Linked DNA regions of Schizosaccharomyces pombe. Changing the gene in region 1 together with any one later gene gives a genetic interaction. Each region holds a gene or a part of one and is shown on either strand. Other genes may lie near its edges.

What was found.
Region 2: mutations in csm1 (region 1) and cut3 are lethal when combined (synthetic lethality), as found in Schizosaccharomyces pombe (one study listed by BioGRID).
Region 3: mutations in csm1 (region 1) and hmt1 are lethal when combined (synthetic lethality), as found in Schizosaccharomyces pombe (2 studies listed by BioGRID, with this or other methods).

What each region holds. Positions count from the first base shown.
Region 1 is NC_003424.3:5,284,595-5,288,946, reverse strand, and holds csm1 (microtubule-site clamp monopolin complex subunit Csm1/Pcs1), read right to left. Parts: upstream 2,838-4,352; 5' UTR 2,818-2,837; coding exon 2,766-2,817; exon of another isoform or gene 2,727-2,765; coding exon 2,385-2,726; intron 2,339-2,384; coding exon 2,126-2,338; exon of another isoform or gene 2,071-2,125; coding exon 1,892-2,070; 3' UTR 1,657-1,891; downstream 1-1,656. Other genes in the region: SEA complex subunit Sea3, read right to left, coding at 1-555; ubiquitin-conjugating enzyme Ubc13, read left to right, coding at 866-892, 935-1,096, 1,249-1,333, 1,391-1,563; Munc family exocytic/endocytic regulator Ync13, read left to right, coding at 3,248-3,330, 3,377-4,352. UniProt on the Schizosaccharomyces pombe protein: The monopolin-like pcs1/mde4 complex is essential for accurate chromosome segregation during mitosis and meiosis II. May clamp together microtubule binding sites on the same kinetochore, preventing merotelic attachment of microtubules.
Region 2 is NC_003423.3:1,001,150-1,008,826, reverse strand, and holds cut3 (condensin complex SMC subunit Smc4), read left to right. Parts: upstream 1-2,303; 5' UTR 2,304-2,363; coding exon 2,364-6,338; 3' UTR 6,339-6,564; downstream 6,565-7,677. Other genes in the region: protein Cwf25, read left to right, coding at 1-28; erv2 (sulfhydryl oxidase), read right to left, coding at 231-809; SPOM_SPBC146.02 (uncharacterized protein), read right to left, coding at 7,025-7,677. UniProt on the Schizosaccharomyces pombe protein: Central component of the condensin complex, a complex required for conversion of interphase chromatin into mitotic-like condense chromosomes.
Region 3 is NC_003421.2:1,913,443-1,919,805, reverse strand, and holds hmt1 (vacuolar phytochelatin and glutathione S-conjugate ABC family transmembrane transporter Hmt1), read left to right. Parts: upstream 1-2,134; 5' UTR 2,135-2,263; coding exon 2,264-2,461; intron 2,462-2,583; coding exon 2,584-4,878; 3' UTR 4,879-5,050; downstream 5,051-6,363. Other genes in the region: mug24 (rrm type RNA-binding protein), read right to left, coding at 1-524; mdn1 (midasin), read right to left, coding at 5,149-6,363. UniProt on the Schizosaccharomyces pombe protein: Involved in metal tolerance. Probably involved in the transport of metal-bound phytochelatins. Compartmentalizes cadmium within vacuoles, thereby protecting cells from cadmium toxicity.

The DNA.
Region 1 (4,352 bases):
CCGACCAGAAACACCCTGAGAGTTAAAAGATATTCGACGAGATCCATAACTACCATCGTCAAAAGAAGAAGATGATATGGAAGTTAAACCTTGCAACCTTTGTGTCGGTGTTTGAGAATATGCAACAATGGTACTAGACCTTACACTTTCTGAAAAATTTGCAAAGGAGTTAGAAGCTTTTTTAATTAATATCTTAGAATCGTTTAGCTTATTGTCCAACGTTTCTGAGTGATCTTTAGAGATTGTTGACGATGAAGCTAGTTGATCACCGTCTTGTGCAGTGTTTGATTGAGCGCTTAGAGCAGTGGACGATTCATGGATCATTGATTCAAGACTGTCTTTCTCCAATTCAAAGTTGCATAATTCCCCGCTATCATCCATATTATAGTATGAAGATGGGTTTTCAGAATTAAATTGCTTATTGGGGTAATTCAAGGTACGTTCATCTTGAAGAGATTTCAATGAATGTTCATAATCAATAGGCGAAGAATTTTTTACAACCGAATCACTCGGAGGAGACTTTCTTGAAGAATCGTCTCCCTGTAATTCCCTCATCTTTTTCGATATGGGCCAGGTGACTGTAGCAATTTCAGGATTCTGAATCTTTTTTTTTATAAAAAAACAAATTAAATTTTATACAATATTATGAATATTAATAATAATAAACTAAGAAGCCATGGCTACTTGTCAATTGCTAATACTATTCTTAGCTAGAGCCGTGGAGATTTTATTATCACTCACTATTTGTATTATGTTTTACGTCACTCCTTATATAGAATAGTGTATCAATCTCTCCAGTTTCTCCTTAAACCAAGTACTTATTGTGTGTACAGCATGCATTCTAGGAAGTCCAAGTATATGAACAATGGCTTTGCCTAAGCGTATTATTAAGGTTTGCGCTTTCTGTTAGCATTTTTCAACTAATAATTGGTAGGAAATTGAAACCCTTACGAGAGATCCTCCACCCGGAATTGTAGCGGCTCCCACTGAAGATAATCTTCGCTATTTTAAAATTACTATGGAAGGGCCTCAGCAATCAGCTTATGAAGGTGGAAAATTTCACTTAGAGCTGTTTCTTCCTGATGAGTATCCAATGGTAGGTTTTTTTTGAAAACACAGTATTGAGCCTACCATGGTCCTTTTGCTAGCCCTGCTAGTTCAACAAAAATTTGAAGAATGGCATTGTCAGTTTCAAACTGTCTTCAAAAAATTGTATAATTGTGTAATTTGAGTTTTAACAACTATTAGATGCCTCCCAATGTTCGTTTTCTTACTAAAATTTATCATCCAAACGTTGATAAATTAGGTCGCATATGTTTATCTACGTTAAAAAGTATGTTAAACTTCACACGTTTCATCTTATTTTGGTGTACTAACATTAATAAATCAGAGGATTGGAGTCCTGCTTTACAAATTCGAACCGTGCTACTTTCGATACAGGCATTAATGGGTGCTCCCAACCCAGATGACCCTTTAGACAATGATGTTGCAAAGATTTGGAAAGAAAATGAGCCACAGGCAATTGCAAATGCCCGTGAATGGACGAAAAAGTATGCAGTTTGATTACTTATGATAGTCCAATGCTTATGGTTATCACTAGAATAATAATATATTACGATATCAATAGCTTTCTATATACAGTCTTTGATTTGAATTCTACCCATTTCCTTAAGTTTTTTGCATTCAATTTTTTCCTAAGCGGTTAAGGTCTTTTCGAATAAAAGATGTAAAAATTAATAATAGATAATTATGGTAGCAGAATACAAACATCGCAGCTTTTGACGGACGATGAAAAAAGTGATATCTCGACGAGCACAATTAATTTAAGATATAGTGCTATTCATATAACAAGGAAGTATTAAAGTTTAAGCAAAATCCATAGTTATTATTGTTAATCTTGCAAAGCTTTCATTAATCTAGCAGAAAATAATTTTCCTTGTTCTTTCGTAAAGATAATTTCCTCCAACAAATAGTCTGGTAAATGTTTCATAAGCTCCTCATCAGTTTGAACATTCAGACGTGGAGTAAATGTAAAGTTTTGATCATCTAACAAGAGCTGATATTCGAGTGCTATAATAATATCCTGTTAGCTTGAAATTATTTCTAAATCCCTTAAAGCACTTACTCCCTCTCCTTCCAGTGTTTTTACAGTTGAAACGATATCCATCCTCGTCCTCTATACAGTCTGCAACTTCTAATCCGAAAAGCTCCTTTATAAGTATATTAATTTTTGAATAGTTTTTTATTTGCTCTCGAGTTTTCAATAACTCATTCTTTAACGAATGGTTAGCTTTCTTTTCATTTTCTAGTTCTTTTTTTAAATCTTTGACTATTGTGTCTTCTTGAATGTAAGTAAAAAATTCAGAAATAGGCCTTAGTCTTACCATCAGCGTCAGCGCCAGCATTGGTAACAGGTTTTGCCAAATCTTCAAGTAAATAAAATTCTTGTAGTTCATTAATTTTTCGTATCAGCTTGTTCAGTTCATTGAATTCCTGCTCTTGGGTGTGCGAAAGAGTAGATAACTCTACGTTAGGGAGTTGCAACTTCTTATTCAACTCTGACATCCCGGAATTATTGATATGAAGTTCATTTTCGTTCTCCCTTACACTATATGCATCTTGATCTTCATTATTAACAAAATCCTGAGTTGAATGCATTTGTCCTTGAGAGATGCGTGTACGCTGTTTTGGTAATTTATGAATAAGCTTGGACGATTTTCCTTTAGCTTTGATATGTCAGCTTAATCTACACAGAATAAATATACCTTGTTCTTTTAGTTCACTATCTTTAGATGTTTGCATATTATTTTTTCTCATACTTTGTGGTGGATAGTGTTAACATTAATAATTGATCCTGGTGTGCAAATACATTAAATAAATCTAAAATATATCATAATAACTGTTTTATATTTCTTTCAATATAGTCCTTGAAGCCACTTTATTTTGACCGTCTTAGACGGTGGATTCTTTGGATTAAGCAGAAATTATGCAGTTAGCTTGATTCCAAATACAAGTTGCATTATTGCCTACTAATTTAATATTTTTAACAGATGAGCTACCAAGTCTTTCATAGTAAAATCATGTTTCTTTAATTCTTCTCTGTCATAGATTTCCGATTACACCTCCGCCTATCTCACCATATTTCTCCCACTCAATACATTCTCTAGGCTATTATATATCCTTCGATCCTGTTGCTTAACCTGCAAAGAAACTAAATTAAATATCTTCATTTTATTTTCTAAATGGGATGAATTGTAGACGAAAACCTCTTCCTTTACACTCGAACGAAGTTCAAGCTGCAGAGTCTATAAGTAAAGATGAGCTCTATAGGTTTGTTATTTCATTACTTTTCATTTTAATTAACCAACGTATTTAGCTGGACTTTAAAGAATGTGTTAATCCTGTTCTTAGTACAGTATCGTGCATCTACCCCTTCAGCTCTGCAGACATCATCATTTAGTACACCAGTTGAGAAAAAGACCAATGGGGCATTTTCTGGTAGTCTATTTTCTGCCAAAGAAAAAAAAGATAATCCAAAATATCCCAAGGATTTTATAAAATATTTATCGCTTGCCCTTGAGAGTATTAGTATGGGAAAAGAGCCAGAATATCAAGATCAGTTGATCAGAGGATGTTTCGCAGCATTTTACAATAACATAAACAAATCTCATATATCTAAGCAATTAAAAGACTCGAGGAAAATTGAGGATATGTTTTTGATTTTTGCCAGCTCTGTTTCATCTGAACTTACTAAACGTTTGGGAACAGCTTACGATTCAAATTTAGCAGACAGAATTACTGCTTCCTTTATTGAGTTATGCAAAAGAGTCACGCTTAAAGGCCAATTGGCTTCCCCATCATCTGAATTTGTATCCCATCTTGACATGTATCACTCAAAGCTTCTCAACAAAAGTGAAATACTGAGTACAAAACGCGTTAATAGAGGACAAGATCAATTTGACCTTTCATCTTTTCCTTTGTTAAAAGTTTTTTCGTCAGTATTCAAGGTTGCTTATTCAAAAGCATTGTTGGATGCTGAAAAATTATTTCCCTCAATAGATGAGGCCGCCATAGCTGAAGATATTGGCATTTTAATTGAGGATTTAGAAAGTGATGCTTGTAAATTTTCGCATTCGGTGGTCGATTTTTCTAATTATAAATCATACTCCACTTGGAAAGCTCGTGAACTTCAAACACTAGAACAACATCGTAAAATCATGTTAAGTTTGATTCCTCTTTCTTCATCACCAAATCACCCTATTCAACCGATTGGTTTTCCTGCCAGTAGAAAAACGCCGACATACGTGCCGCCAATAGCGCGGCCTTACTTTCGGCAACTTCTATCGCTATGT
Region 2 (7,677 bases), on another chromosome or scaffold:
TAGCCGACATAACATGTTAAGGCCGTAACGTGATTTCTATGTTTTTTCTAATATAACTTTGATGCATAACGATATAACATTTCTGAATAATGAGTGGAAATGACGGTGGTAAACAGTTGAACATATCAGTTTAGGGTTCATTAAATAAATAGCTTAACATCCAAATGCATTGCATGATAGACGGTAATATTTTTTAATAATACATGAATTCTTAAAATTAACCATTGTTATCAACCAGAATAGTCGTGATCTTCGTTAATTACTTGTACCCGTTCAGGAACATTTTCAGCTTCGCTTTCGCGATAGGTCGGCGATCCGATTACATATCTCTCATTAAATCCATCGCATGATGTCTTTGGTTGATTCATTTTCTCATTTAATTGATTGTGTACTTTGCAAGCCCACGTAGTTGCTGCTTTTCGAGAACTTGTTTGTGGAGGATGTACATCTAGTATCTTTTGGAGTTCCACAGAGTATTCACCACATGGCATTGTAATAGCGGAAGAAAATAGATAATGTCTTAAGATATCTCGCTCATCTAATGTTGGTCTGTTTGGATAATTGGAAACAACCGTATGAATTAACTTCCAGTATGCATTTACCATTAAATTATTCGTGTTATTATCGTGCTTCGTGGACATCATCTCAATTGGTTTTCTACCTTGACCTTCTCGATCCGGAAGCGATTTAATTTCAGGCATAAACAGACGCCAATCTTTGTCTACCATAACACTGTGAAAGATCCATATAATAAACGATAAGATTAGTAGGGTAGGGAGAATCACCTGAATTCTTCTATTAAGGATCATGTTTTATAGTATTTAGCTACTTCGTTTTCCCCGTAAGAACACCTTCATCTACCAAATTAATTGTAAAGGAGAACTGCAAGGACAGAAACTCACGCGGCTTTTTTGATCTGATATGCGGCATCGCTATGTTGCAATAACGAGAAGGAATTGATGGTAAACAAAACTAACCTCCTGGGTTATACAGAGCGAGTGCATCGTTATATCTAATGCTAATTAACAGAAAAACTTTTAAAGTAGTAAGATGGAACAGGCTGCTGGATGATCCAATGCATTACCAAATTGATTTAGATAAATGTATTGCCAACCCTTTAATTTTTTTTTTAGATATTAAATATCTTTTATATCAATTCTATATGCTTTTTATTTTAAGACTCAGAAGAGTTTTAATTATAAGTATAGTTAATAGTTAATAAATATGTAGTTTAGTGATAGAGATATAACCAAATAACAACAAAAAAATTAACTAAAGTATCATTATTATAAAGTCCATTGCTAGGTTTTATCACTATAAAATTTTTTTTAAGTTTGGAATTATTTACTAAAAAAAAGAAACTTAACGTAAATAAATAAAAACTAAGAGGACTTGTTAGTTTTTGTTTAAAAAATAAATAAATAAATAAAGAAGGAAGAGTTTAGCTAAGTTATCAAGTGAGCATAGATAGCATATAATAATCTATGTTTACAGATTTAAATGTTTTAAAGATAAATTACTTGCAATTGCTTGAAGATATGAATTTGCGTTTGATTAGTTTAAATCAAAATGTAAGAATTTTGGGTTAAATTAACATATGGCAAAAGGCTTGTCAAGTTTAAAGCTAAAAAAATACAAAACAATAGTGAATTTGAAAAGTTGTTCTAAAAAACTTGGACAAATCGTTTCCTTGCATTAACATTTCATTTAAAGAGCTAATCTATTTATATTACTTACTGATTATTCTTTATTCGTGGTTATTTCACACATAGGGCTACCCAAACAAGGTAAATTTTTGCGTCGTCTTGCTAGATTTAATGAAGGAATACAGAACAAAAAATCTTTGAGCTTTATATTTATTGTGTGAATTGAAAGAGGATGTTTGCTTGTGCTAGTAAAAACTTAGAAACAGCAATGTATTCTGCTCGTCCTTTTAATATTTTGCTAGTGTAAAGTGTCAGAGCAATATTCTCTTTTACTTAATTTTCGTTTTGAGTTAACTTTCAACGTCCAAGAATACCAAATTGACTAGCATAATAATTTAATGTATAATAGACACATGAGTTTATAATTACAGGTAAAAAGATGTTTGAAGTCTTCCTTTAAATCAGGTGTGTAGGTATAAAATAAATAGATCATTTTCATCTAACATGACCTGTTTACACAATTATACTTCAGTCTTTAGTTTATAAACATGGGCTTTAGTGTAATTTAACTGTGGGTTTTTGTATATTTTATTCATTAATTGACTTCATCGTTGGGTGAAATGCTGTTCAACCGTTGTAAACAACACACCTCTTTTCACGACCACCCACTCTTTTAGAATTTTAAGTAATATATAATTTGTTGAAGATACTATCTTTATGTCTGACAAGGGCATCTTTCGAACGTCTTCAACACCCTCGATTGTGGATGTTACGCCAGATCGTGGTGAAAGGCCACGAAAGTTGGTTCGCTCAGTGCTAGAATCTCCTTCTCAGAAAGATGTCGCATCAATTGTCAAGATAGAGCAAACACCATCTCGCCCATTTTTCAATGACTTTTTAAAAAAAAGAATTACCGATTCTTTAAACGAACGCCCTAATTTGCTCAACAAATTTATGTCTGCTCAAGATGGCACTCCATCTAAATCAACAGGTTTCAATGAACGGAGTTCACAACTTGTGTCAGAATTTACTACTACAGAGGATATTGAGAATTGTGAAGAAACCACTCAGGTTCTTCCTCCTAGACTGGTTGTTTACGAGCTACGCCTAACAAATTTTAAATCATATGCAGGAACTCAGATAGTGGGTCCGTTTCATCCTTCTTTTTCTTCAATTGTTGGACCAAATGGCTCTGGGAAATCTAATGTTATCGATGCTTTACTTTTTGTTTTCGGTTTTCGTGCTAGTAAACTTAGGCAATCCAAAGCGTCTGCCTTAATTCATAAATCTGCAACTCATCCTTCTCTCGATAGTTGTGATGTCGAAATTACTTTTAAAGAGGTAAACTCTGACTTTACTTATGTTGATGGAAGCGAACTAACAGTTCGTCGTACTGCTTATAAAAATAATACTAGTAAATACTTTGTAAATGGGGTTGAGAGTTCCTTTTCTGCAGTTTCTAATCTTTTAAAGGAGAAAGGAATAGACTTGAATCATAAGAGATTTTTAATTCTTCAAGGAGAAGTCGAATCAATAGCGCAAATGAAGCCCCGGGCTATATCAGAAGGTGATGATGGTCTTCTTGAATATCTTGAAGATATCATCGGAACCTCGAAATATAAGCCAATTATAGAAGAGAATATGCAAGAACTTTCGAATTCTGATGATATCTGTGCTGAGAAAGAATCTCGTTTAAAACTGGTGCTCTCTGAAAAGGCGAAATTAGAAGATAGCAAAAATTCGGTTCTTTCTTTTCTCAAAGACGAAAATGAGTTGTTTATGAAACAGAATCAGCTTTACCGTACTATTCTATACGAAACACGCAATAAAAAGACGTTAGTTCAAAACTTGCTTAATAGTTTGGAAGGAAAATTACAAGCACATTTAGAGAAATTTGAACAAACCGAGCGAGATATTTCGGAAAAAAATGAAGAGGTTAAATCATTGCGTGAAAAGGCAGCAAAAGTAAAAAACGATTGTACTTCAGAGAAGAAAACTCGCCAGTCTTATGAACAACAGACTGTGAAGATTGAAGAGCAGTTAAAATTTTTACTTAATAAAGAAAAAAAGTTAAAGAAATCCATTGAGGCTCTTTCATTCGAAAAATCAGAAGCAGAAAATTCTTTAAGCTCTCATGATATTGATTCCCAAAAGTTGAATTCTGAAATTGCCGATCTCAGTTTAAGACTTCAACAGGAAGAATTGAGTTTGGATGACATTAGGAAAAGTCTACAGGGAAAAACGGAAGGTATTTCAAATGCTATTGAAGAAAAGCAAAAGGCTATGGCTCCCGCCCTCGAGAAAATAAACCAATTGACATCAGAAAAACAAATTTTACAGGTTGAGTTGGATATGTTATTAAATAAAGAAAATGATCTAATTAACGATGTTGAGTCCTCTCAATCTTCGCTTGATAAACTGCGTAATGATGCAGAAGAAAATCGGAATATCCTGTCTTCTAAGCTTAAAGTGCTTTCCGACCTAAAAGGAGAGAAGAAAGATGTTAGTAAGAACATTGAAAGAAAGAAGGAAACTGTTCACAATACTTACCGAAATCTTATGTCAAACAGAACAAAGTTGGAGGAGATGAAAGCTTCTTTAAGTTCTTCTAGATCTCGTGGAAATGTGTTAGAAAGTCTTCAAAGACTTCATGAATCTGATAATTTAAATGGTTTCTTTGGACGTCTTGGTGATTTGGCTACAATTGACGAGGCTTATGATGTGGCCATTTCAACTGCCTGTCCTGCTTTAAATCATATTGTAGTTGACAATATTGAAACTGGACAGAAATGTGTGGCTTTTCTGCGCTCCAATAACCTAGGCCGTGCTAGTTTTATTATTCTCAAAGAACTGGCGCAGAAAAATTTAGCTCGTATCCAAACACCTGAGAATGTTCCCCGGCTCTTCGACTTACTTCGGTTTAATGATCAGAAATTCGCTCCTGCGTTTTATAACGTTTTGCAGAATACCTTAGTTGCTAAAAATTTGGAACAGGCTAATAGAATTGCGTATGGCAAAACACGTTGGAGAGTTGTTACACTAAGTGGTCAGTTAATTGATAAATCGGGCACAATGACTGGAGGTGGTACTCGAGTAAAGAAAGGCGGAATGTCCTCAGCTATAACGAGTGATGTATCGCCGGCTTCAGTTGAGACTTGTGATAAACAAGTGCAACTAGAAGACACTCGATATCGCCAACACCTAAGTGAGCTGGAGAGCCTTAATCAGCGATTTACTGAAATTTCGGAACGTATTCCATCGGCGGAACTAGAGATTTCAAAGCTGCAGCTTGACGTTTCTGCTTGTGATAGATTGGTAGCTGGAGAAGAGAGGCGAATCTTGCAGCTTAAATCCGATTTAAAAAGTATTAGAAACAACAATGAACGTAAACGGAATCTCCAAAACAAAATATCAAATATGGACAAGGAAGTTGAGGCCATAAATATTAACAATGAAGGCCTTGTCACTGAAATTAAGACGTTACAAGATAAGATCATGGAAATAGGTGGGATTCGATATCGTATACAAAAATCAAAGGTCGACGATTTGCATGAGCAACTCAAATTTGTTAAAGACAAGCTTAACAAAATGAGTTTCAAGAAGAAGAAGAATGAGCAACGCAGTCAATCTTTCCAAGTTGAACTATCAAACCTTACTAGCGAGTACGATACAACTACTGAAAGTATAGCCACTTTAAAGACTGAACTACAATCGTTAAACAAGTATGTGGATGAACACAAATCTCGGCTCCGCGAATTTGAAAATGCTCTATGGGACATCAATTCCTCTATCGACGAACTAGTAAAATTTATTGAATTTGAATCTAAGCAAATGAATTCCGTTAAAGCAGAAAGGATTGAATTGGAAAATCAAATTCAAGAGCAGCGTACGGCATTATCAGAGGTCGGCAATAATGAAAATAAATATTTAAAGCTCATGTCAAATCTGAAGTTACACAATTTGACTGAATTTTGTGACCAGACAACAATGGACTCAACTTTTCCCGAATATTCTGAAGATGAACTGAGTTCAGTTGATAAAAGCGAGCTGGTCTCTAATATTTCAGTCTTGAAAAAGAAAACTGAAGACAGAGAAGTAGATATCAATGTTTTGTCTGAATATCGTAGATGTAACAAGGAAGCAGAAAAGCGTGATTCTGATTACCAAAGTGAATTGCAAAAAAGAACCGATTTGAAAAAAGTCGTTACAGATCTTCAATCTCAGAGGCTCGATGAGTTTATGTACGGATTTGGAATTATATCTATGAAGCTTAAAGAAATGTATCAAATTATTACTATGGGCGGAAACGCAGAGCTTGAGTTAGTGGATAGTTTGGATCCGTTTTCTGAGGGGGTATTGTTTAGTGTGATGCCTCCCAAAAAATCTTGGAAGAACATATCTAACCTTTCGGGAGGAGAGAAGACGTTAAGTTCTCTAGCCCTTGTCTTTGCTCTACATAATTACAAACCGACTCCTTTATACGTTATGGACGAAATCGATGCTGCATTAGACTTTAAAAACGTTTCGATTGTTGCGAATTACATTAAGGAAAGAACTAAAAACGCGCAGTTTATTGTTATTTCTTTAAGAAGTAATATGTTTGAGTTATCTTCTCGTTTGGTTGGCATTTATAAAACGGCGAATATGACTAAGAGTGTCACAATCAACAACAAGGAAATACTTACAGATTAACTGCACATTCAAATAAAAACGTAGAAAATTGGAAACTAGATATTTAATAATTTACGAATTTTTGGCTACTGAATGTCAGTGTTTCATAATTCACAGTGTGCATACTAATAAATCTATGTTATGAGAAGATTAAACTAATTTAGTTTTGTGGCACCCAGTTTATGTTAATGTTTCAGAAATCTGTTTATGAACGTAATAGGACTACAAATATATAAAATTAATCTTCACTCGCTTTTAAAGCCTGTAAAATCTGCGCAAAGGAATTGTATATAATTAAATATGTTGTTTACATCATCAATTTCAGAAGGTATCTACAATTTGTAGTTACATAGTATAATATTTTAGTGGGTAATGCTTTTAAAGATTTATTGCAATCGTATGCATACCATATAGAACGTATCCAATTTTAAGTAATTTAATTTTATGGTAGTAAATTAAGAATAATTAGAAACAAACAATAAATTAGATTAAACAATATGAGTCGTAAACTTAAATAGGAAATCTCAATGCACACGACGAGATAAATGAAAGACCAATTAACAAGAAAAATGCAAATGATAAAAGCTTTCCAGCTAATAAGAGATAGGAGGACTAAGGAAGAAAGTAATGAAGGAAATAAATGAATGTTAATTACCACATGGCTAGCACCATGTAGCCTAACATGGAGCATCTGAGTAACACTTATTTTATAGCCAGTCGCACTGATGGTGTTCCCACCCATTAAACTCAGTCAAACCCAGGTGCTGAATTTTCCTCTTCGATTTCGATCGGTTTCTTTTAAAGGACAAGCTTGATTCGCCTTTCACAGCAGATTTAAGACGAGAATACGCATCAGAAACTCGGGAAGTAACATTTCTTTTAGAAGGTGTTCTGTCTATTAGTCCCTTGCGAGAGGAAACTTCTTCAATATCGAAAAACTCTATATCATTTGCAGAATTTTTTAAAGTGCTTTTACTACTCCTTCTATTGGCTCGTTTTTGAGCAACAAGCTTCTGAATTGCGGCGCATTCTAATCTGTATTGCGAATTGCTAAGTTCCTCACCAAGTGCACCTCTTGCAAGCCGTGCAGGGGAGGATGGTGAGGCATAACGACTATGGTTTGAAGAAAGACCAAAACCCTGCTTTCCAACGCTGTTTAGCTGTTTCGAAACCGAATATTTATGAAATCTTAACTTTAATGGAGAGATTGGTGAAAGTAAAGGACTTGAATCACCAATGGAGTTCGATGCCGCTTCCAACAGCCATGGCGAATGCTGCGAAATGTTTTTGTCCCAAGGTGATACTGGCGACTTTAACTCTTTATATATGGCATTGATCAGTTCGTCAGATATATGATGTG
Region 3 (6,363 bases), on another chromosome or scaffold:
TTTGGACGGTTTACAGGTTTTGCATGATACATATTGTCGGTATAGTGGGCATAGGGCATCGGTATGAAGGTGTTTGCTGAAACATACATGTTGGGGTAATAGGTTGAAGGTGGAGAAGGATAAATGACTGAAGAAGAGTCCTGGTCAAAATGAGGATAACAAGGAGAATCGAGTTGTTCGGGAGGGGGATTCATTGATTTAGGAGCATACCCATTATGAGATTTCGGAATAAATTCTGCGGCATTGATGTTTACATGGAAAGAAGGATTAGGTGAAAGATTTTTGTGCTTTTTACCACCACAGTCAAGGTTGGTACATTCATTATTGTCCACTGAATTAAGACTACTGTTATCATCTTCTGAATCATTTAAAGTGCAAATGCTGTTGGCCGTGCCAGTACTTCCTGTCTCTTGAAAGCAGCAATCACTATCAACGAAGTGACCGTTGTTTGCTTGGTCTTTTTCAAGAACACGGTCGGTCTCAACTTCACTTCCGGCACAGCCAATTTTGTGCATAATAGCCATTATAGTGTTAAAAAAAAAGAATTGAGTGAGAATATGGATGCTTCAAAATATAGAGTGCTTTAGACTGATGAGTTTCGCTTCAAAATTAGTATCGATTTAAATGCTGTATTCGATGGTCAAAACTGGTGAGAGGGACACTTATTTATAGATAAAAAAAATCATATCGTGTCAAGTTTTCGTAACAGCTAAGCACCATTTCAAATGTAAACATTGCTATTTTCGCAAGCATTCCCCGCAAAGCTGTCCCACATTTCTTAAATAGAAGGACGAATCAAAAGGCACAAAGTTGCAACTCTAAAACGTCAGGATGGCCCACAAACGACGAATGCGACGGTAAATCCGCTGCCACTCTTCGCTAAAGTCGACGTAATGTACTTATTTTAGCGAGGCTTAATAGTTAAAATTACTTACGTCCAATCATAGTTGTCCCTTTAAGTTATTCGGTTCTTATTATGACTGCACAGTGACTACCACCAATTCCTCGCGAATAGTACAGTCATGATAAAGGGCTGGTAGACAGCCATTTCTAAGCCTTGAAATTACCTTTAATAAAAACCTCGAGAGCCAATAGACTTTTTGGGTGCAAGATTTACGATTAGCCAGCCTTCCCCCGCCTTTTAAACTGCCAGAGCAAAATTAAGAGTAGATAGGTATCCCCCATATCCCTTATACCGAGCAATGCAAATACTGATCCAAGGCAACAATACCATCAACCTTACGAAGAGTACTCAAAAATATTGTTAAAGAATTACGTATACTGTGTTAGATGCTTCAAATTGCCCGTCCACTTCTAGCATGATTGTTGCTGTTTTGAAGTTATCGACATTGTGGTTCATAAGGTTTTAGCTTCATAAAGCCTATTATATAATGTGATGCGTTTCGTTAGATAGTAAAAAAGTTCGGCTAGGGCTATACTTAATGCTTATTCATAAATTGGTGTAGACTGTATTCTGTCACAATGATGTACGTTGAGGCTTGATCTGATAAAAAAATTTGGAAAGAAAATAACGATGTCAGTAAGTTAAAAGTAGTTAAATTTGAAGTTCTTCTGAATATTTCAACCATTAATTAAAAATATTAATTTTAAAAAATAGAAGTCTTTAATGAGTTTATCATTTCTAGGCCGTTAGCGAAAGTCAGAGTTTGAAGGTGTGTTATGCAATTAAATATTGTAACTTTTGCTTGAAAGCCTCTTCAAATAAAAAGGATTTGTTACGTGTTTCTTTAAAACTTTTCGAAGGTTCCAGATACTAGGTTATTGCATTCAAGCTCATCAATTTTAGATTTGTATACCCAACATTGCCAGTCAACATCAAGTTCAGCCGCCTTTTATCTATATTTTAAGAAGACCCTTTACAAGTTGTTACTATGCCGTTGAAATTTGTAAAGCTTTCAATACAAGTAAGTACATTATTTGTTCCTCTATCGTGGCCGATGAAGGATGTATGCCTTAAGCTACGATCTTGTAAGGAGGTTAAGACTCTTAACAAAAAAAAAAGTTGAAACAAAATATACAAAATTCATACTGATTTTCTGCTTTCGAAAGGCTCCGTAAGTGGGGTAGTTTGGTACCGTATAGGAGGTATTCTTACCTCACCATTGTCACTCTTAACCTCTACACCACTTAACCTCAGTCAAACCAAATTAGCAATTGAAGCAGTAACAATTTAAAATTATCAAGTTACTTTTACCTAAAGTTTTATTAATCAAACTGGCATTTCTTTTTTGATTTTTTTGTAATGGTTCTACGTTACAACAGCCCACGCCTCAATATTCTTGAGCTGGTCCTTCTATATGTCGGATTTTTTAGTATTGGGTCCTTGAACTTACTGCAGAAAAGGAAAGCTACTTCTGATCCTTATCGTAGGAAAAATCGCTTCGGCAAAGAACCTATAGGAATAATTTCCTGGTGGATATTGGGAATTGCATTAACCTACGTACGTATTTCAAGCATTTTTCTTAAAAAATATATATATATATATATATAAGTATATTTTGAAAGAAAAATGTTTATGTTTAATTGTTTAACCTCGCTTCATATTGCTAATTTCATTTTTAGGTCGTTGATATCAGCAATCTTGTCATCTACGCATTGCGAGTTCCAAATTGGTGGCCCTGTAAAACCACTGTTGTCTGTTTAATTCTCTTCCTTTTATTTTGGATAATTGTACTTATCTCATGCGCAGATTCTAAAGCTCTTCCAAAAAATGCGGATTCCATACTAAAGGCCTACCGCCTTAGCGTCTTGTACGTTTGGGCTATAGACATTGTATTTGAAACAATTTTCATTGTCTACAGTCCTCATCCAAATGAAACATTTCAAGGAATTGTATTGGCGGACCATGTAGCCCGATTGGTCTTATGTGTTTTCGCTACAGCTATATATCTAACTTATAGACGAAAGAGACATACGCACGATCCCCTGGATTTTGAGGAGCGTCAATTAACAGAAGAGTCAAACGTTAATGAGAATGCTATCTCTCAAAATCCCTCGACCGTTCAGCTCGGTGTATCGGCATCAACCTCGAATTTTGGTACACTCAAATCAACATCGAAAAAACCTAGTGATAAATCTTGGGCAGAATATTTCCGTTCTTTCTCTACTTTACTTCCCTATCTCTGGCCGACAAAAGATTACCGACTTCAGTTTCAGATTTTCATTTGCATAGTTTTACTCTTTTTGGGGCGAGCTGTTAACATACTTGCTCCCCGACAACTGGGTGTGTTAACTGAAAAGCTCACAAAACATAGTGAGAAAATTCCTTGGTCTGATGTTATTCTATTCGTTATCTATCGTTTTTTGCAAGGAAATATGGGAGTAATTGGTTCTCTTCGATCTTTCTTATGGGTTCCTGTCTCTCAATATGCTTATAGAGCGATATCAACTAAGGCTTTGAGACATGTTCTAAACCTGTCATACGATTTTCATTTGAATAAACGTGCTGGTGAGGTTTTGACCGCCTTAACTAAAGGAAGTTCGTTGAATACGTTTGCAGAACAAGTTGTGTTTCAGATTGGGCCTGTTTTGTTGGATTTGGGAGTAGCCATGGTATACTTTTTTATTAAGTTTGACATTTATTTTACGCTTATTGTGTTAATTATGACACTTTGTTACTGTTACGTTACGGTCAAAATTACATCTTGGCGTACCGAGGCTAGAAGAAAGATGGTTAATAGCTGGCGCGAGAGTTATGCTGTGCAAAATGACGCGATTATGAATTTCGAAACCGTTAAAAATTTTGATGCAGATGACTTTGAAAATGAACGATACGGTCATGCTGTGGATATTTATCTTAAGCAAGAGCGGAAGGTACTATTTAGCCTTAATTTTTTAAATATCGTTCAAGGTGGAATATTTACATTCAGCTTGGCAATTGCTTGTCTATTAAGTGCTTATAGAGTAACATTCGGCTTTAACACTGTCGGTGATTTTGTCATACTTTTGACATACATGATTCAGCTACAGCAGCCTCTTAATTTTTTCGGAACTTTATATCGTTCATTGCAAAATAGCATCATCGATACAGAAAGACTACTTGAAATTTTTGAGGAGAAACCTACTGTGGTGGAGAAACCAAATGCCCCAGATCTTAAAGTCACTCAAGGTAAGGTAATATTCTCTCATGTTTCATTTGCATATGATCCACGAAAACCTGTTTTATCAGATATCAATTTTGTTGCACAACCAGGAAAAGTTATTGCGTTAGTGGGAGAATCAGGTGGTGGGAAATCTACAATTATGAGAATTCTTTTACGATTCTTCGATGTCAACTCGGGATCCATAACCATTGATGATCAAGACATACGAAATGTTACGTTGTCTAGTCTTCGATCTTCAATAGGTGTAGTTCCCCAAGATAGTACCCTTTTTAATGATACTATTCTTTACAATATTAAATATGCTAAACCTTCTGCGACCAATGAGGAGATTTATGCTGCTGCTAAGGCTGCTCAAATTCACGATCGTATATTACAATTCCCAGATGGTTATAATTCTCGTGTCGGAGAAAGAGGCTTAAAGTTAAGCGGTGGTGAAAAACAACGTGTAGCAGTTGCCAGAGCTATCTTAAAAGATCCTTCAATTATCCTTCTCGATGAAGCTACTTCTGCTCTGGACACAAATACTGAGCGACAAATCCAGGCAGCCTTGAATAGACTTGCATCTGGCCGAACTGCTATAGTAATCGCTCACAGGCTCTCCACCATCACCAATGCAGACTTAATTCTTTGTATTTCGAATGGTAGAATCGTTGAGACTGGCACACACGAAGAGTTAATAAAGCGTGACGGCGGAGCTTACAAAAAAATGTGGTTTCAACAAGCAATGGGAAAAACTTCTGCTGAAACTCATTAATCTAAGCATAATAACAAGCCTTTACTAATTTTGGTAGTTATGACTAATTTAAAAGGAGAATTAAAATACACTAACTTTGATTGTGAGTAATGCTGCTCCTTTCACAGAAACATTATGGTACTAAAAATTTTATCACTAAATTCCATACCAATGAATTTCTATTATTAATTAATTTATTAAATCGTAGTATGTATAAGTACCAAAAATAATCCCAAAACCTAACCCGATTATTTTTTTCTGCAAGTCTTAACTGCAAAGCTTTTGTACAATTTAAGTATTACTCATCTGCTGAAACCATTGACGAAGTGCAGAAGACAAAAGTTGCGGCAATTCTTCGATGTTACGAACCACCAAATAGTAATCAAAAGCAAACTCATCTATATATGGCTGAATTTTTAAATCCATAGTACCATCTTCTTTAGTGTCGTAGTAAACCTTTTTAATATCAAGGATGGACGACTTTTTCTGGGTGTTAACATTGTCAAGAATAACAAACACAATCATCACTTTTTCTTCTTGAGCACGCCTTAGCAGTTTCCGAATGCTATCATGATCTTCACAAATACCGTCTGAAATTATGATTTCTAACTGCCTTATGTCCGAGTTAGATCTATGATGGGAAGCCGTATTGGCATAGTTAAAGCATTTCATAGAAGCATCGGCGAGAGCCAAAACATTGGTATTACTTTGCTCAAATGTAAAATGCGAAAACATTTGTACACCACTTTCAGATGAAAACTGTTTGTCGAAAGGATGCAACAATTCAGGTTGCTCCCCAAATTTCATCACTGCAATTTGTCCAACTTCAAGTAATGATAATGCTTTTGTTACCAAAGCTAAAGTCTCTAACGCTAGAACTGTGCTGCCCGACTCACTCATCGACTTAGAATCATCAATGGAAATCATCACTTGATACGTCCTTTTACTAGGTTTAACACGACGCATCCATATCTTGTCTTTCTTGAACTGAGAAGCAATATATGGGATGATTCGTTTCATATTCAACCGTTTACCCGTACGAAAGTCTCCTTGCATCTTAGTGGCCAAGGTTGGTTCTAATATCAATCGAAGCTGTTCACATAACTCAATAGAAAGTTGCTTTGTAGAGTCCTCGTGTTTATTCCATAAATCACGAGCTTCATCAATGGGCATTGCAGCAGGAAGGTTAGTAATCTTCACATTATAATCAGGAAGTTCATCTTCAATATCCTCATCCTCCGATAATTCAAAAACCTTCTCAGACTGGTTGATAGACCCAAATTCCGTTGGAAGGGTATCTTCACCAGTCTGCTTGATATCTGAAATATCCTGACCATCTTGTAATTGTTTGTCTCCAACTTCATCAGCTTCATCTTCAGCAATGTTTGTACTGTTCATTGAGTCTGGATTCTGATTAGCAGACTCATCTCGATCAATACTCTTAATTTGATCTTTTTCGGCATTTCCCAAAGCTTGCAAATCCTCTTCCTCATCCTCTTTAACATG